3 linked regions of the Drosophila melanogaster genome follow. The protein of the gene in region 1 interacts with the protein of each later gene in a pairwise test. Each region holds a gene or a part of one and is shown in the gene's direction. Other genes may lie near its edges.

What was found. The genes of interacting proteins can lie anywhere in the genome.
Region 2: the proteins of CG5555 (region 1) and RpS15Aa interact in a two-hybrid assay, tested with the Drosophila melanogaster proteins (one large-scale study listed by BioGRID).
Region 3: the proteins of CG5555 (region 1) and Targ2 interact in a two-hybrid assay, tested with the Drosophila melanogaster proteins (one large-scale study listed by BioGRID).

What each region holds. Positions count from the first base shown.
Region 1 is NT_033777.3:19,177,562-19,182,291, reverse strand, and holds CG5555 (uncharacterized protein), read left to right. Parts: upstream 1-1,753; 5' UTR 1,754-1,871; coding exon 1,872-1,887; intron 1,888-1,969; exon of another isoform or gene 1,970-2,104; coding exon of another isoform or gene 2,105-2,111; coding exon 2,112-2,165; intron 2,166-2,232; coding exon 2,233-2,581; intron 2,582-2,643; coding exon 2,644-2,814; intron 2,815-2,881; coding exon 2,882-3,673; intron 3,674-3,739; coding exon 3,740-4,034; 3' UTR 4,035-4,207; downstream 4,208-4,730. Other genes in the region: CG14282 (uncharacterized protein), read right to left, coding at 4,359-4,730.
Region 2 is NC_004354.4:13,335,137-13,339,389, reverse strand, and holds RpS15Aa (ribosomal protein S15Aa), read left to right. Parts: upstream 1-1,751; 5' UTR 1,752-1,885; intron 1,886-3,010; 5' UTR 3,011-3,012; coding exon 3,013-3,405; 3' UTR 3,406-3,753; downstream 3,754-4,253. Other genes in the region: CG15747 (uncharacterized protein), read right to left, coding at 1-938, 1,005-1,015.
Region 3 is NT_037436.4:21,197,761-21,204,835, reverse strand, and holds Targ2 (terminal ADP-ribose protein glycohydrolase 2), read left to right. Parts: upstream 1-1,745; 5' UTR 1,746-1,758; exon of another isoform or gene 1,759-1,916; intron 1,917-1,953; exon of another isoform or gene 1,954-2,088; intron 2,089-4,147; exon of another isoform or gene 4,148-4,321; 5' UTR 4,322-4,541; coding exon 4,542-4,841; intron 4,842-5,431; coding exon 5,432-5,590; intron 5,591-5,652; coding exon 5,653-5,955; intron 5,956-6,107; coding exon 6,108-6,377; 3' UTR 6,378-6,575; downstream 6,576-7,075. Other genes in the region: CG10512 (uncharacterized protein), read right to left, coding at 1,514-1,745; Targ1 (terminal ADP-ribose protein glycohydrolase 1), read left to right, coding at 6,711-7,075.

The sequences.
Region 1 (4,730 bases):
ACCTTTTAGGATAAGCGGGGTAATTAAAAGAAGCTCAATAAATTAAGTATTTATTAGTGTTTCCTTCAACACAAAAGGTGTGTAGCTGAGCACACTTTGTTTAAAAGTAAACATAGTTAAATTAAATAAAATTTTATTAGCGAAAGCTGATGCTAAGAAATTTTTGGGAAATCAATAAACTATTTAGCTTTAGTTATTTACCGTTTGTTATATATAAACTGTGCATAATTTAACAGCAAGAGGGAAACAAAAAACCATGGTTTTGCCAACTTTTTTGAGTCAAACTCGGTTTATGTAAACTGAAAACGGATTTTGGCTCCGCTGCAAAAACTGGTTGGCAGCGTTTCGTTCCGTTCGCCTTGCGTTTATTGCATACAACAATTGATTTTCTTCCGAAGGCGGAGAGCGGAAAAGCGGGACGGCGAAAATGCAAATGAAAATGGCAGAGTGCTCAGCGCCGTTGCGGGATGAATGTCAGCGAGGGGGCAATACATGTAGTTTCAAACAAACTTCAAATTGGCGAACACAAAAGCAGCTCTCAGACACACACACGCTTTACATAGTGAGACGCCGAGTGGGTGGAGTGAATGGAGTGGATGGAGTGGGTGGGTGGCGCTGGGAGGTGCCACCTGCTGGCTGGGCGAGTGCAACAAAAATGACAAACGTGCTTTTGATAGACTTGTTGACGACAAGCTCCTGGCACTTGGCAGCTGTCAGCAGCAACCCAGAAACGGGCTGACGTCCTCACACACGCATGCACTGGCCCAAAAAAGCGGCACCATGGAGATTATATTATTTATAAATTAGATTTTGCATAGAAAGGTTAAATTTACTTTCACTTAAAAGTGGTGAGAGCGTTTAATATTAATATTTGGCAAGGAAACGCAAAGTTTCATTCATTGATTGAGTTAGTTATGATTGATTGATGAAATTTAAGGTTTAACTAATATTTCAAACTACAAAGACACATAGACAGTAAAGACACATAGACACATAGTAATAGACAGTAAATATATTAAAAGAGGTAATTCAGCACAAATGTTTCTCACTGTGCACCCACGGCTATTTTTGATCTCCGGTCTTGTTTGTTAGCATATGAGTGCGGTTGTGAGAAAGGTGAGCCAGTTGCGAATTTGGTAAGCAGGTTTATGGGCGAACCCCTTAATAAATAATACCAAAAATCAATAGGTTGACTCCTTGCGATGACCGTTTTTACGGCCGCGTCCATACATTGAATGTTGCACGTGTGTGTGCGGTTAAATGTACTTTGTGGTCCAATCTTGGTAATTGCAATTACAATCGACTTTGGTCCGCCGCGCCCATGGTAATCAATTTGTTGTGTTAACCGCGGGCGCAGCCCATGGTTACTGCAGCAAACGGTATGGAATTAAATCACAAAAAACTATTGCACTCACTTTTGCTTTCGCTTTTGGTTTTTGATTTGTTGCAATTTCCTTTGGACAGCCTTTTTGTTTTGCTTCTCTTTTATTTTGACTTGGTTTACGCGCGCGGGAAAGAACGAGATGACGACGTAAGTTTCGTAAACTTGTTTTTGTTATGGCCCAAATCACGGATGACGCGAGTCTGGCTCACCGAACACGTCCGATACGCAGCAGCAACAGCAACGCACTGGCTTTGTTTTGGCCAACTCGCCAAGCGGATCCGACCGAAGTGGCCACAGCCGAAGTTGTCAAGCGAAGCCGACAAGTTGTATGTTACTTCATAGCACACTGTTCCACAGGAAATCACTTTTATTTTATTGGCTCCATTCACTTATCATTTCATACGAGTAAAAATATACATTTTCTCTATTGGCGATGAAAATCTGCTAAACCGAGCACGAAATTAATATTTTAATCTTTTGAATTTCGATGGACTTGAATCCAGGTACGTTACAATCAGTGTTGGTAGGCATTATCGATAAGCGATTGTTGAACTAAACACTTTTGTCGCGAAGCAATCGATGGCCGTTCACTCCGCGCGAACTAGTTCACATAGAAAAATAACAAACTCATTTCGCACAGAGTAAAATAGAAAATTACACTTTGAACGGTCTTTAGGCTTTTTTTTATATATAAAAACTAATGAAAATTATGCCCGTGTCATGCTAGAAAACATTTCCCTGTGTGTGATCAAGATCGAAACGGATTTGGATCCCAGTGCAGGTAAAATTCAATGCAGCAACGATAGCTTCGGACAAAGGAAGTGCATTAATTCTATATTTTCGAACAGATTCTGAGGGAGCTGTGTCCGCCGAACATCCAACCAATCCCCGAGTGCTCAAGGAGCGGGAACGCGACCGCGGACTTCGCCAATCCCGCGACATCACCATCGAAACGTACACAAACCAGCGTTGGAAGCGGGAATTGAGTGAACCCAGACAGCAGGAGATGAACTGGGTAGCCGCCGTGCAGCATGTGAACAGCCCCTCGGCGGGCAGCTCCCGGGAGATAACTCCTCGGAGCGGCGATGATGGCCAGGCGGGAGCCAGCGCCTCCAACTTTCCCCAAGAGATAGGGTACTTCTCCGGCAATCCCATCGTCGAGGTGACCAAAGGTCTTATCCATCTCTACAAGAAAAAGTGGGTTAACTCTGCTCTATCCTACTAAATATTTCACTCACCATTATTTCTGTATGTTTCAGCGAACGCAAGGCCATCAAGGAAGCTCCATCTAACCAACTCTGCCTGCTGGCCGTGCCGGCCACTCTTAACTGCCACGATCTGCTGAACTTTATTGCCCCCTGTCATGCAGAGATTAAACACATCCAGATTGTACGTGACGGCAGCCCCAATCAGTTCATGGTGCTTTTGGAGTAAGCGGCGTTCCAATCTGACATTACAGATTCACGGATATTTACTAATATAATCACACTCTTATAGATTCCGCTCGAATGAATCCGCTTTGGAGTTCTACAAGTCCTATAATGGCAGTACTTACAACTCACTGGAACCGGACTCGCTGTGCCACGCGGTCTGGGTATCAGAGGTGGAAAGGAGCGAGCATGGAGCACCACCAATGGGACACACCGAGCTACCCACCTGTCCAGTGTGCCTGGAGCGCATGGACGAGAGCGTGGATGGAGTGTTGACCATATTGTGCAATCACGCCTTCCACGCCAGCTGCCTGATGAAATGGGGTGACTCCACCTGTCCGGTGTGCCGCCATGTTCAAACTCCTGGACTGGTCGAAGATTCCGTGTGCATGGAATGCGAGGGCACCGATTCCTTATGGATCTGCCTGATCTGCGGACATGTGGGCTGCGGACGCTACCAGGGAGGACATGCTGCTGCACACTTCCGGGCCACAAATCACACCTTTGCCATGCAGTTGGGCACCTCAAGCGTATGGGACTATGCCGGTGACAACTTTGTGCATCGCTTATTTCAAAACAAATCCGACGGCAAGCTGGTGGCATCGCAAACCGAGAAAGATGAGCGCGAGGAAAAGATTGACTCCATGCAGATGGAGTTCACATACCTGTTGACCTCTCAGCTGGACACACAGCGCAAGTACTATGAGGAGCGCATGGAACGATTGGAGCAGGAGTGGCAGAACCACAAGGCGACTGCCAACGACGCCAAGACAGAGGTTTCCGAGCTTCAACAGCTTCAGCAGAACATGCAGAAAGAAAAGGTCAATTTGGAGCGCAAGTTGGCCCAGCATACAGCTAAGTAAGAAATACATTCACATCGCCTTTCCTAATTAACCAAATATTAACCAATTTCGTGCTCTTGTAGGCTAAAGGATGTACAGAAGCAGCTGAACGAAGAGCGTGAGTTGTCCAAGGCACTGCAGAGCAACCAGAGCTCCTGGCACGGCAAATACAAACTCTTGGAACAGCAGTACAACGAGTTCAAGCAAACCCACGACGCCGAGGTGACCGAATTAAAGGAACAGCTTCGCGACATTATGTTCTTTTTGGACAATCAGCAAAAGTTGGCCAACACCGAGATAGCGGGTGGCACCGTTACAGGCATTGCAGAGAAGGAACCGGATCCCAACACCCGGCGCCGTAATCGTCGCAAGAAATAAATCATAGCCACCGTACGCCGTCTTTATATCCAAGCTGCATTGTTTACCCGATCTTAGATGGCTATGCAAACCGAGTATATAAGGTTTATAACAGCTCTATATGTGATTTCCTTTGTATAACGAAAACCTAAGGATTAAATATAACTACTACTACGTAGAAAACCATATGTCCCAAAATGTATTGCGTGTTTATTTTGAATTAATAAAATGTTTGAAGAAAGCCGCTTTTCATTTAAATTTTTCCGCTGGTGGCAATAAATTCTGTGTACTTAGCTCGCCAATTTAAAGTTATTATTCGAATACAATCGTGGATTAATAATGATATCATTCAGGCTTCGGACAAATATCCTCGCAATTGAATGTGGGATCCGAAAGCTCCTGGGGTTGCACTGCTGGATCTGCTTGGAAAATCACGAGCTTCTCCTTCATTTCCTGCTCGTTACGATCAAGATTCATCAGATAGGCGGCAATAAAGGCGCGTGGATCCTGCGGCGAATGAATGTGCAGTTGAGCGAAGGCCCTGACCAGTACGTCGCCCATCTGTTCCTTGATCTCGCCAGCCATTGCATCCACGGCCTCCAGATTCTTGCTCTTGGGCATCCAGTCGTATCCCTTGAAACAGCAGCACTCGCAGTAGGTCTTCGGATCGGAATCCTTGAGCAGTTTGAAAAAGGGCAGCAGCTCCGCCTCGCAGCT
Region 2 (4,253 bases), on another chromosome or scaffold:
CTGAACTTTCCGGAGCCTTGTCCTTATCCTCCTTTTTGATCTGGGACAGCTTATTCTTTTCCTTCTCATTCTCCTTCTCGTCTTCTTCATCGCTGGAGTCGTCTATGCTAAAATCAGAATCGGCATCTATGTTGTTGGTCAAATGTGCCTGCGCTGGTATGCTTTCCGTTTGATCCGTTGACTTCGTGGCGTCCGAGGCTGCGTCTGATTTGCTCTTAGTCTGCTCCTCTTCATCCTCGGAGGGGCGACGTCGCCGATAGCTTCGATGCTTGACAGCCTCTGCCTTAATGGGTTTGTATGCCACCTCGTCGGTGGTGGGCGCCGTCTTTGGCTTGACGACATCCTGCTGGGCGGGACCGCCCAACTTTTGTTCGTATAGATGGCGATAGAAGCCGTCCAGATCCTTTTGCTTGGTCACATCGCCAATGGCCTCGAGGTACTCATCACGCTGCTCCTGCTCCTGCATCTGGCGTATGGACTCGAGCTTCTTGCGGTAGGCGGCAGTCACGTAGGTGTCCTTGTCCTTATACATCTCGCCCTCGGCTTCGCGATCCTTCTGCACCTGCCGTTCGATGCGCAGCTCCTTCTCCAGCTTTCTGCGCTCGGCATGCTCCATCAGCCGGCCAATGTACTTTGGTTTCCGCGGCTCCTGGCTCTTCGTCTGCTTGGCCTCCTCGCGTTTGCTGTCCATGTCATCGTACAGCTCGTCGTACTGGAATATGGTTGGATCCTCGGCCAGGGCCTTCTCCTGCTGCCGGCGGGCCACGCGGCGTTCCATTAGACTAGGACCCATGGATACGCCGCCGGTTCTTGGCTGAAATTGAGGAGCAGCTGGGTCATCATCGGTCTCGGAGTCGCTGTTCTCGTCGAAGATGGAGGGCCTTTCGACTCGTTTTAGAGGTACTTTCTTCTGTTGGCCGGGTAAAATAAGGCCATATCTGCACGGTGTTGAAACGGGTCCTTAAAAAACTGCTCAAATTGTTTATTTTTAACAAATTACTTACTGTTTTGCCATTCTTGTTTATTTATGAATAATTAGTATGACCGTCTGAAGCGACCACAAAAATCCCTCAATGGTGCAAAACTGCTGACAGCAACGCTTTACCGGCTAAAAGAACCGTTGTATATCGATAGGAGGACCATTCGATAGTATTAAGATAATAGTTTGAAACACGGATAGTATCACAAAATTCGTTATTTCAATGTGAAACTACTTTAAAACTTGTGCTTTAATCAACTTGTATTTAATTGTGTTTCAATGGACCAATCATTACTTTATTTTCTGTTTTATTGCCAAACCAAGGCTCTTACCCCTTGAAATCATGTTAGTGCAACTCTAGAGACGTAAAATACACATACAAATATGGCGAAATATTGAAACAAATTAAAATAAATTTAAATATAAATAAATTGTTATGTTAATAAAGCGTTTAATTATCACTTAAGGCCTGCTGTTTTTTTTTTATTTATTTTTTTACGCCAATGGAAACATCGGTCCTTAGTCTGGCTACGCAGAAAAATATAGACGGGATCATGATGCTCGGGGGGATCAGAGAAATATCAAAGATTACTTCTGAAGCCGTTCAAGTCTATTCACATGCATAGTGGCAGTTGGGCTCCAAATAATTGGAAGCGATTTTAGTCAAGCCAGCAACCGCGGCCTGCGTCCGGCTAACTATCGATAGGCACGTTGAGCGTAGACACATTCGACAAACGCGGCCACACTGTTCTGCGTCTTTTTCCTTCCGTTTCCCTTTCTTTTCCCTTTTTCACGTTTGCGTGAGTACGTGTACTCCGAGTTTTGTTCAACAAAATTGTATTTAACTCTCTTTTATTTCCTCTATTTGCAGCGGTCGTGTAAAACAGTTTTTGCAAACAAATCCAGGTAAATGCCGCTTCCATTGGACCCGTTTTAAGCGCGAAAATTCAGCCAGATTAGATTGGCGGCGATCGCCGGCCGAAACATGTGCAAATCCACCCAACTCCGTTTTTTTTATTACCCATTTTTTTTTACTGTGGGCCAATGTGCCAAAACTGATCAGTTTACCGTGTAAACAATGCATGAAATGCCTCGCTACATGCGCTATATATATGTATTTTTTTGGTTATAATTTTTTTAATGTGCAAACGAATATGAAGTGAAAAATTGGCCAAAGTGTGTGGCACAGTGTTGTTGTGCATGTGTGGGTGGGTGTGAGCGGCTTTAAATTGTGGCAAAAAGTTGGGCATTCAGTTGAATCGAATGCACGACCGAAAACCGGCTAAATTAAACAAATTTTTACGCAGTTTAGTTGGTAAACTTACCCGAAATAGTTGTTGTTTACAGCCACTTGTACGCACACACACACAGCCGCAGAAACACAGACAGTATCATTTTTTTTTCTTTGCTATTTTGCACGTGTTTTACTTGCTGTTTCTGCTTCTTTTTTTATTCAATGTTCCGTTCCTCGCTGATTTAAAAAGTGAAGTAAAAAACTGTTAAAAATCATAATCAATATTAAAAAACGATTCGTCGTCTGTCCGCGTGAATTTCCGAAAAGGCGCCACGCCTCCTGCCCTCCAGAAATCTAGAGTATTATAATAGTAGCCACTTTTATTGAATACTTTATTATGCTCATAATGGTTCATATGTGTTAGGGAAACCTTTTTCCAATAAGTCATATGCCACACTTGTATAGGCTCCATAAGTTGATATGTTTTGTTTAGGTGGTCAATTGATCTGTTCTTGTAGTACACATAGTTTTACGTACTTTTCAAGTTAGTTTTTCATTTAATAGGGCTTAAGCTTTGTTAGCCAACCTCATAGTACTACTTATATAGTAGTTATATGCAATTTAGTGAGATACTTTTTTTTAGTAGGCTCTGAGCACGTTTTGCTTGGTTTTGTAGACTGATTTTATAGAGCAATGGGGGTGGCAAAGTCTGCACTTTCGATTAAAGCCCAAGACATCATCTTTTTTTTTCTGTGATTATTGCCTCTTGACTAATTGTGTTCCCGAACATTTTGCAGCCATGGTGCGTATGAACGTATTGGCCGATGCCTTGAAGTGCATAAACAACGCCGAGAAGCGTGGCAAGCGGCAGGTGCTGCTGCGTCCCTGCTCCAAGGTGATCATCAAGTTCCTGACCGTGATGATGAAGCATGGCTATATCGGCGAATTCGAGATCGTCGACGATCATCGTTCCGGCAAGATCGTTGTCAACCTGACCGGTAGGCTAAACAAGTGCGGCGTCATCTCGCCCCGCTTCGATGTGCCCATCAACGACATCGAGAAATGGACCAACAATCTGTTGCCCTCGCGTCAGTTTGGTTACGTTGTGCTCACCACCTCTGGCGGCATCATGGACCACGAGGAGGCTAGGAGAAAACATTTGGGAGGCAAAATTCTCGGCTTCTTCTTCTAGAGAAACCAAGTTCGCATCGTAGAGAGTCTGTATGTGCTGCTAAGGAGTTTGATATGTAGATTGACGTTTTATTTCACCGACCATGCAACCAACTATGTACTTTGTGCACAGGAAACAAGGGGCGAAAACGCTGCTACGTTCATTCAGAAAACAAACGACGATGAATGTTCACAAAGTTACGCGAAATAAAATGATTGATACATAATAATTTTAATAACGATTTTGTCTACGATCCATATACTATGTTAAGCGGTACAGTGATAAATCAATAGCGACAGTAAAACGATCTGTTAACATAAAACCCAATTTGTGTATAATATAACCTCGACCGGAGTTACTTATAGCTGGATATTGTCAATTTTATGGCTGAAATCAAGACAATTAGGATGTTAAGAACGCGCCATGCGGTTTCTTTTGAGGTGCTTAAAACACGGTTACGTGCTTTCCATAATGAAAGTAAGGGCCAATTGTTCCCACTCTTGACACCTTAAAGCCAAAAATGATTAGACCATCATAGTTTTGGTATTCCCACCTAGGTTTCTTATTATTTGTTAGAACTTCTTCACCAAGAAAACCTCAATTACTGTCAAAAATTGTTTATGAAGCAAATAATGCTTGTTAGAATTTGTTGTAGTTTCTATAGAACAAAATGTACATGTAAAACGTACATTTACATGCTTCTTCAGGTTTTCAACTGTTTTCCAGCACAAGTTCCGAATTTATGCTGTAGATAACTGCTGCAATTTTTGAGTAAAAATTTGTTTTAATTATGATAAAGTGTATTCACTCGATGAGTCAAATTTGATGTTATCTCAAGTTATCCCTAGGGAGTACTAGGTTTTTTATGA
Region 3 (7,075 bases), on another chromosome or scaffold:
CTGAAACCCCAATTAAGTTGATGGCTTTACGAGCTTTATCTTATCGAAACCCAGTCACACCACTCAGAAAAAATTGAAATGGGCAACCACATGAAAATACTGCATGGAAAAGAATGAATTCTTGAGTACAGCACGTTAGTACATATTACTATAGCTATAGTTGTTGTACTCAATTGATTATTAACCAGATAAAATTCGATAAAGAGTTTGAACACGATAACATATTAATACTTGAACCTGAAATCTAGAATATAACAAAGTTTATTTTCAAACCAAACCTGGCTCATTTTCGCTTTAAATGGATCAAACACGACTTGGTTCATTTGCTGAATAATAAAAAAATACCCAGCACTCCATCTGCTAATTATTTAATCTTATATCAGTTCTTATAGGATTTCTGTCCACTTATCTTATCGGTTATAGCCTATATATGTCCCGAAGTACATTTAAAGAGCTTTGAGGAACAGACCCTAATTAATCTAGAGTAAACGAGTACATAACCAACAAGTGTTGGATTTGGTGAAACAAGTTTTATGACCGATTCGGTGCGCTCATTAACACCTTTTTTGAGTAATGGCAGAAAAATGATCGATCCGCGCTTCTGGAGCGGGTGTTATGTTGATAAAATGGCAATTGAAGTGGAACCGGTTATTAAATTCTGTTTCACTTTCTGCAATAAAAAGGAAGAGTGAGTGCTTAATGAGCTTTCAATGGGGCTATTAAATTGTGATTAGTAATAAATGCAAGGCAGGCGGAGACGAACACGCCTCCAATCCCAGTCCCATTTCGTTTTTATTTATATTTTTATCGTACATTAAAGGACAGTCCCCCATTTCATAATAAAATACCCACTTGTCTGCCAGAACATAAATATTATTTTTGGGGCTTTGCTGGGTTAACAAAGGATAAAGGATTGTGATGTTTGCGAATACCAGATAAAATATGTAATAAGAGAAACTGAACAAAAAAAAGCAAACAAAAATATAATACTGCAGTTGGTATGCGCTTAAATTCAAACGTATTTACGAATAACTTCAGTAGTTGATATGGAGTAAACTTATAAACTTATTCTCGGAAGATAGACCTTTGACCTTTATTTTTCTGTGGCTTAATAATGCCAGCAACTAGTTAGTTACATATTTAGTTAGTTACATATTTATTATTATTTATATATATTGTTTACGATTGATGGAAGACTTTAGATTTTCACTTACAACAGATTTTTAATTTTTTTTGTTTATTTCTAAATTAAACCATTCATCGAGTTACAATTATGAGAGGTGATGATATCAGTGATGTAGTTTATTGAATCGAATCGGTTGTAACCGGTACATTTTTTTGCCTAAGATCTCTTGAAAGTTTGAATCTAAGGTATCGTTATATCTCCCTTTTCGTTAGGCGCGCATATCTCTCATTCGGTTTTTATTTAACGATTTCGATGCATGAATCTGCTGCAGCATCATAAATCACCGAGTGCACGCGCTGTTTGCATAAATTAAGCTTATGAACTTACCGCCAACATTAGCATACGCATTTGGCGCCTGCGCAGCTGCAACAGCTGATGTTGCTGTTGTTGCTGTTGTTTTGCTGGACAAAAGTACAGCAGCATGTCGCCCACTAACGTGCAAATGCAATTGGCACCTTTGAAGCTGGGGCAGAAACCGCCAATTCGTAACGCAAACGTGGGCGTAACCGTCGTAGCTGACCGCCGTAACTGATCGTCGTAGCAATGTCAAAGCAGTCATATCGGCAAATAAGGTAACGTAACCCACAAAAAGGTAACCAAAACAGAATAGAAGAGTGTGTGAGAGAGAGGGGTATACAAATACGTATACGTATATTACGTATCGTAATGAAGAGAGACAGAGAGAGAGAGAGAGAGTAGTAAGAATCCCAATCAGAATCAGCTGAGCTGGCGTGACGAGTGTGAGCTTTGCTTTTTTCGCTTGCACTTTTTAGTTATTCTCTAATTCTCAAGTGACTCACAACGCTTCTCTTGTTTTCTCCGGGAGATTTACTCGCGCGCAGATTAATTGCCCAGAAAAAAAACGAACCTGGCGGGTCGTCAACTAACAAATTCACTACTACGTAAAGTATTTAAATTAACAAACAAATAAACACGCAATTTACGTAATTAGCACAACAAACAAAGCAACAACAACAACAGCAACGGCAGCAACTAGCGCCAATTGGCACGCCAAAATCCAAACAGTGCCGTGCTATAAAGCTATATTATATATATATTATGGCTCCCGGATCGGTCGTCTTTATTGTTCGAGGCGACAAGCTGAACTGCCGTGAACTGGCGGCATCGTTCGCAGCTATCGCTTTTCCTCACAAGGTGCCCCATCGAGAGGAAAAGCGAAGTCTAAATTTCAATGCAACAATTCGTTCAAAGCTGCGGCTTGACATGCGTAAATGTGTAAAGCTATATGGAGGCAAAGTGTTATGATTTACAAAAATATTCATTTAACTACTTTAAAAATCAGTGCTATTGTTAGGATATTTAAGGAAAAGCATAAGCAATTGGTTTGTTTTTGATGCTATTTTTTGGCGAAAAGCTGAAAATAAATGGTGGCGGTCTAGGATGAAGTAGAAGACATTAGCCGAGACAACCACCCACGCAATTGGGCGTCTAGTCATTCCAATTGGAATATCCGTTTGTGTAGCATAAAAAGAATATACTCTATGATATAGTCATAGGGCAATATAAATCATAAATTTGTTTTTATAGTCTACGACACAAACATATTTTTAATTAAAAACCAAAAAAATTGTCAGTTTATATAAAAATTTATAAAATGAGTTGCAAGTGATGCTTTTTCTTCGACGTTTGTTTTGAAAAGCAAATGTGAAGCAACATTCTCGTTTTATTTATAATACATGATCAATTGATAGTTAAAAATGGATATCACTGAATTCTTTTAGCATTTCTATTTTCTACTAAGTTTTTCCTATATTAACTAGTAAATAAAATATTTTTTCGTCATCCGAGTCTACAATCGACAAAAATCTTAAGTTTTTACCTCATACTAAATCGAAAAGCTGCTGCCGCTCTGCTGCCTGTTTTGTTTGTTTTAGAATACAAGTTGTCACTTTATATGGTTATTTGTTCGTTGTTTGTGTTGGTATATTTTATTTCACCTGCCATTTAATTAACGAATAATTTAAGTCATATGTATATTTATACATGCACTTTAGTCGGTATACAATCCCTATTTAGCGCTTGAGCGCCGATTACCTTTGACAGCGGCCCACGCACAGGTACACATTCACATACAGGTGCTTCGATCGGAACGATCCGTCGTTATTAATCTATAAAACGCTATCAAAAGCCTGCACAAGTTCTTAATTGGCTGTTACAGCGGCTTTGACGATTTCGGGCAATGCCAAGTCAACTTGTCGCTGAAAACAAACAAACAAACAAACTACGCGGTATCAACTCACACTTGCTAGCACATGTATGTCATCATCATCGCCACCAATCATCATCACTATCGTCGTTATGATTCAGTGGATTGTCATGCCTGCTGGTGGATTTTTCTCCCAAAAAGTTCAGTTAAATTAAAAAAAAAAATGACCAATATGCAATTTCAGTACATTTTCGGTATTCTCAGTACTTGATCAGGTAACTTTTAAAAATTAGGAAGTACATCTTTCAAAAAACTAGAAATGGTTATATATGATTAGTGCATTTTTTTTTTAATTTAGCTTAAAAACAGCATACTTGTGATTTAAAAATAAAATTTCAAAAAAAGATTCAAAACGAGTTCAGTAACTTTCGCCCGCTTTAACTTTCTAGGTCTGAAAACATGATCCATTTTGAAAACCCAAATCCATCTGTGCTTGGCAATTTACTCCGCAAACAAATGACAAAATGAATTTTCTAACACCACGATAAACACAATAGATTAATAATCATATATAAAATAAAATAATAACTCAAGTCGTATAGTATTAAGTGGAAAACGATGTGTTTTTTACAGTGCAATCATTAACATTTGGAGCCCCGCGGCGGCGCCTCTGGGCGAAATGTTGTCACTGAGGCTCGAAGATTCTCGCTGGGCTTTCGCCCGGCACGTCGCTTCACCCATAACCCATAACCCATACCACCATACCCATGCCCACATCCACATCGAGCTCCGATGGCGCATTCCGCTGCAGACCGCCGGCCGAGGCAGTCGATTAAATAGTAACCTCCAAACGGCATTGTAAATTGGGAGTGGGAAATCGGCGAATCGCCAAAATAAACAAGCTACCAACTAGCCGCTTGCTGTTCAGAATCCGTTAATAGCTTTGTTTTCATTCTGGTTTTGTGCAGGTTTCTGTGCAGAACCCAAAAACACACAGTCAAAACCATTCCGAAGTCGAAAAAGTTTTTATCGCGAGTTTTGACCTCGACGTGAAAGTTTCCAGCGCTGCGTGCACGTAAGTACGAAAATCATTTTTGGCATTGAGAGCTTCTGTTTCGGCTGGTAATCAGAATAATTTCAGCTTAATTGCAGTTGGATATATAATACTCTGTAGAGAGCTAGTGCGCCATGGCGAACGTGAAGATAGTGGAGTCCAAGCTGGACATATTCCACGCACCGCAGACACATTCCTTGGCCCATGCCGTAGAGTCATCCTTTACGGCGGAACGGGGAACTCTCGCCTGGCAGTTTGCCCTGATCTACGGGGATGTGGATGAACTACGGCAAAGAAGTGTTTCCAGAGGCAACTGTGCCGTTCTGGAGCACAATGCCCGATTCATATACTATCTGGTGACCAAGTCGAGTCTCTACGAGGCCAGCACTTACGGCGATGTCCAGGCAGCTTTGATCTGCATGCGGGAGCATATGGTGAGTGCTTTTTAGCCGTCGTCTTGGTGGTGGAGTGGGGGTTTCCCGGCAAACAAGTGACATTTCCCCAAAGAGTAAACACAATTCGACGCTTGGGAAACTGGTTTCTTTGGTGCTGCCCTCGTCAATTTACAGTTAATTCATTTGTACATTGCGATACAGTGAGTATCTAAAAACAGTTCGCCCCTTTTGTCATCCAAAAGAATTTCGCTTGTGTCTCATGTTTAGTCAAAAAACGATTTCATGAAATGGGCATGCAGTTAATTTATGTGGACTTTGGGACACAGTAGCAATCGGACAAATGGATCTTCCCATCTTAGCGTCGATTTTTCTTTATAAAATATTATCATTGGGTTGAATGATAATTGAGCGAAGAGAAAGTAAAGTCAGCTTCTTTTTATACCCAATGTTATGTTTCTGACCCTATAAGCAATACGTACATATATTGTTGATCAGAATGACTAGCCGAATCAATCGGGCCTCGTCCGCCTGTCCGTCAAATTATGTGAAGCCCTCAGAACCAAATTGTCATCAAGTCCGAGGTTTTGAAAATAGTGCATTGGGCAATTCTCACTGTAGTGTCTCTGCAGCGCAACCATGAGATCACCAAAGTGGCTATGCCCCGAATCTGCTGCGGCAACGATGGACTTGAATGGAAGCACGTGAAGCGTCTGGTGCAGCAGACCTTCTCCCAGAGCGAGTATCCCATCGAGATACTCATCTGTGAGCACGAAGACATGTCCAAGGAGGTGAGCCATCCAACATGGCTTATTAACAAAGAACAGTGGGTTAATACTCAGATAATCCACAGCTGGCTGCTCCCAAGTGTCAGATTACGGAGGCCAGGGGGAACCTGTTCAGCGCCCCGGAAAACTACGCCTTAGTGCACTCTGTCAGTGCGGACTTCGCTATGTGTGCGGGCATAAATCTGCAGTTCCGCTGCAAATTCGGACAAGTGGATGAGCTGAAGCGCCAACACAAGCATACCGGAAATGTGGCAGTTCTGGAGCAGGATGGTAGACATATCTACAACCTGGTGACCAAGGAGCGCAGCCACGAAAAGTGCACTTACGCAGCTCTCTACTACGCATTGCTGGCCATGCGGGAACATATGGTAAGGAATTGTATTTTTAAGGGCTTACAGACCAAAACTGCATTACTAAAATAAAGAGAAAGGTGAAACATTATAGTTAGGATCAGGTTCACCAAACTGTATTAGAGCAAGATACTGGATACTAAATATGCTTGCTATATTCTCTCTTTCAGAGGGAGCACGGAGTGACCAAGTTGGCCATTCCCAGACTTGGATGCGGCATCGACCGTTTGGATTGGTTGCGCGTGCGGAGTCTGCTGGATCTGGTTTTCGCCGAGGATAGCGTGGACATAATTGCATTCTTCTACACACCGCCACAAATGGTTAAGGACACGTTGAACGTGGTTTGTCCCACCTGCCGGCACATGAAGACCATCCATTTGCCATCGAGGTCCGTTAGTGGATCAAGAAATTCGCTTCATCGCGAAAAGACTCCCTTTTAATGTATATAGCCATCTTTGTTTGACACTCGAAATGGTTTTGCTTGGGACTTGTGGCATCATATGCACCAAATACTTATATAGTTGATAAGAACGATACACCTAAGAGGTTTTTATAGCACACAAAGTTTCCATATTTGGTTATTTATACTGTATTTAATGTATTAATAAATAAAACACGTCCTCGAGAGGATATTAACCAAAGATTGGAGTTTTGATAAATACATATATATACCCTTACGAACCATTATCTAGTGTTATCGTATGACCAAAAATTAATCTAGTAGCTGCCTGTTACACTAAGTCAGACAGATCTAAAACCCTTATTTAAACTAAATGTATTCTCCCAAACTTCTAGAACTACGTAGCGCATTTCGGCGAGCTTTTGTAGTCGGAATGTCATCCAAACCTCAGTACACCCTAAGCGAAGTGGATGGGGATCTGTTTTCCGCCCCCAAGACCTATTCCTTGGCGCACTGTGTGGGCGCAGATCTTGCGATGGGTGCTGGAATTGCCGTGCAGTTCAAGAAGGTATTCGGAAGGTTGGACGAGCTGCAAGCCCAACAAGCGGGCAGTGGAGATATTGCGGTGCTGAAGGATGACCAGCGGTACATTTACTACCTAGTAACCAAGCCTCAGAGCTGGGGAAAGCCCACCTACGAATCTGTACAAGCATCTTTGGAGCAGATGCGTGAGCATAT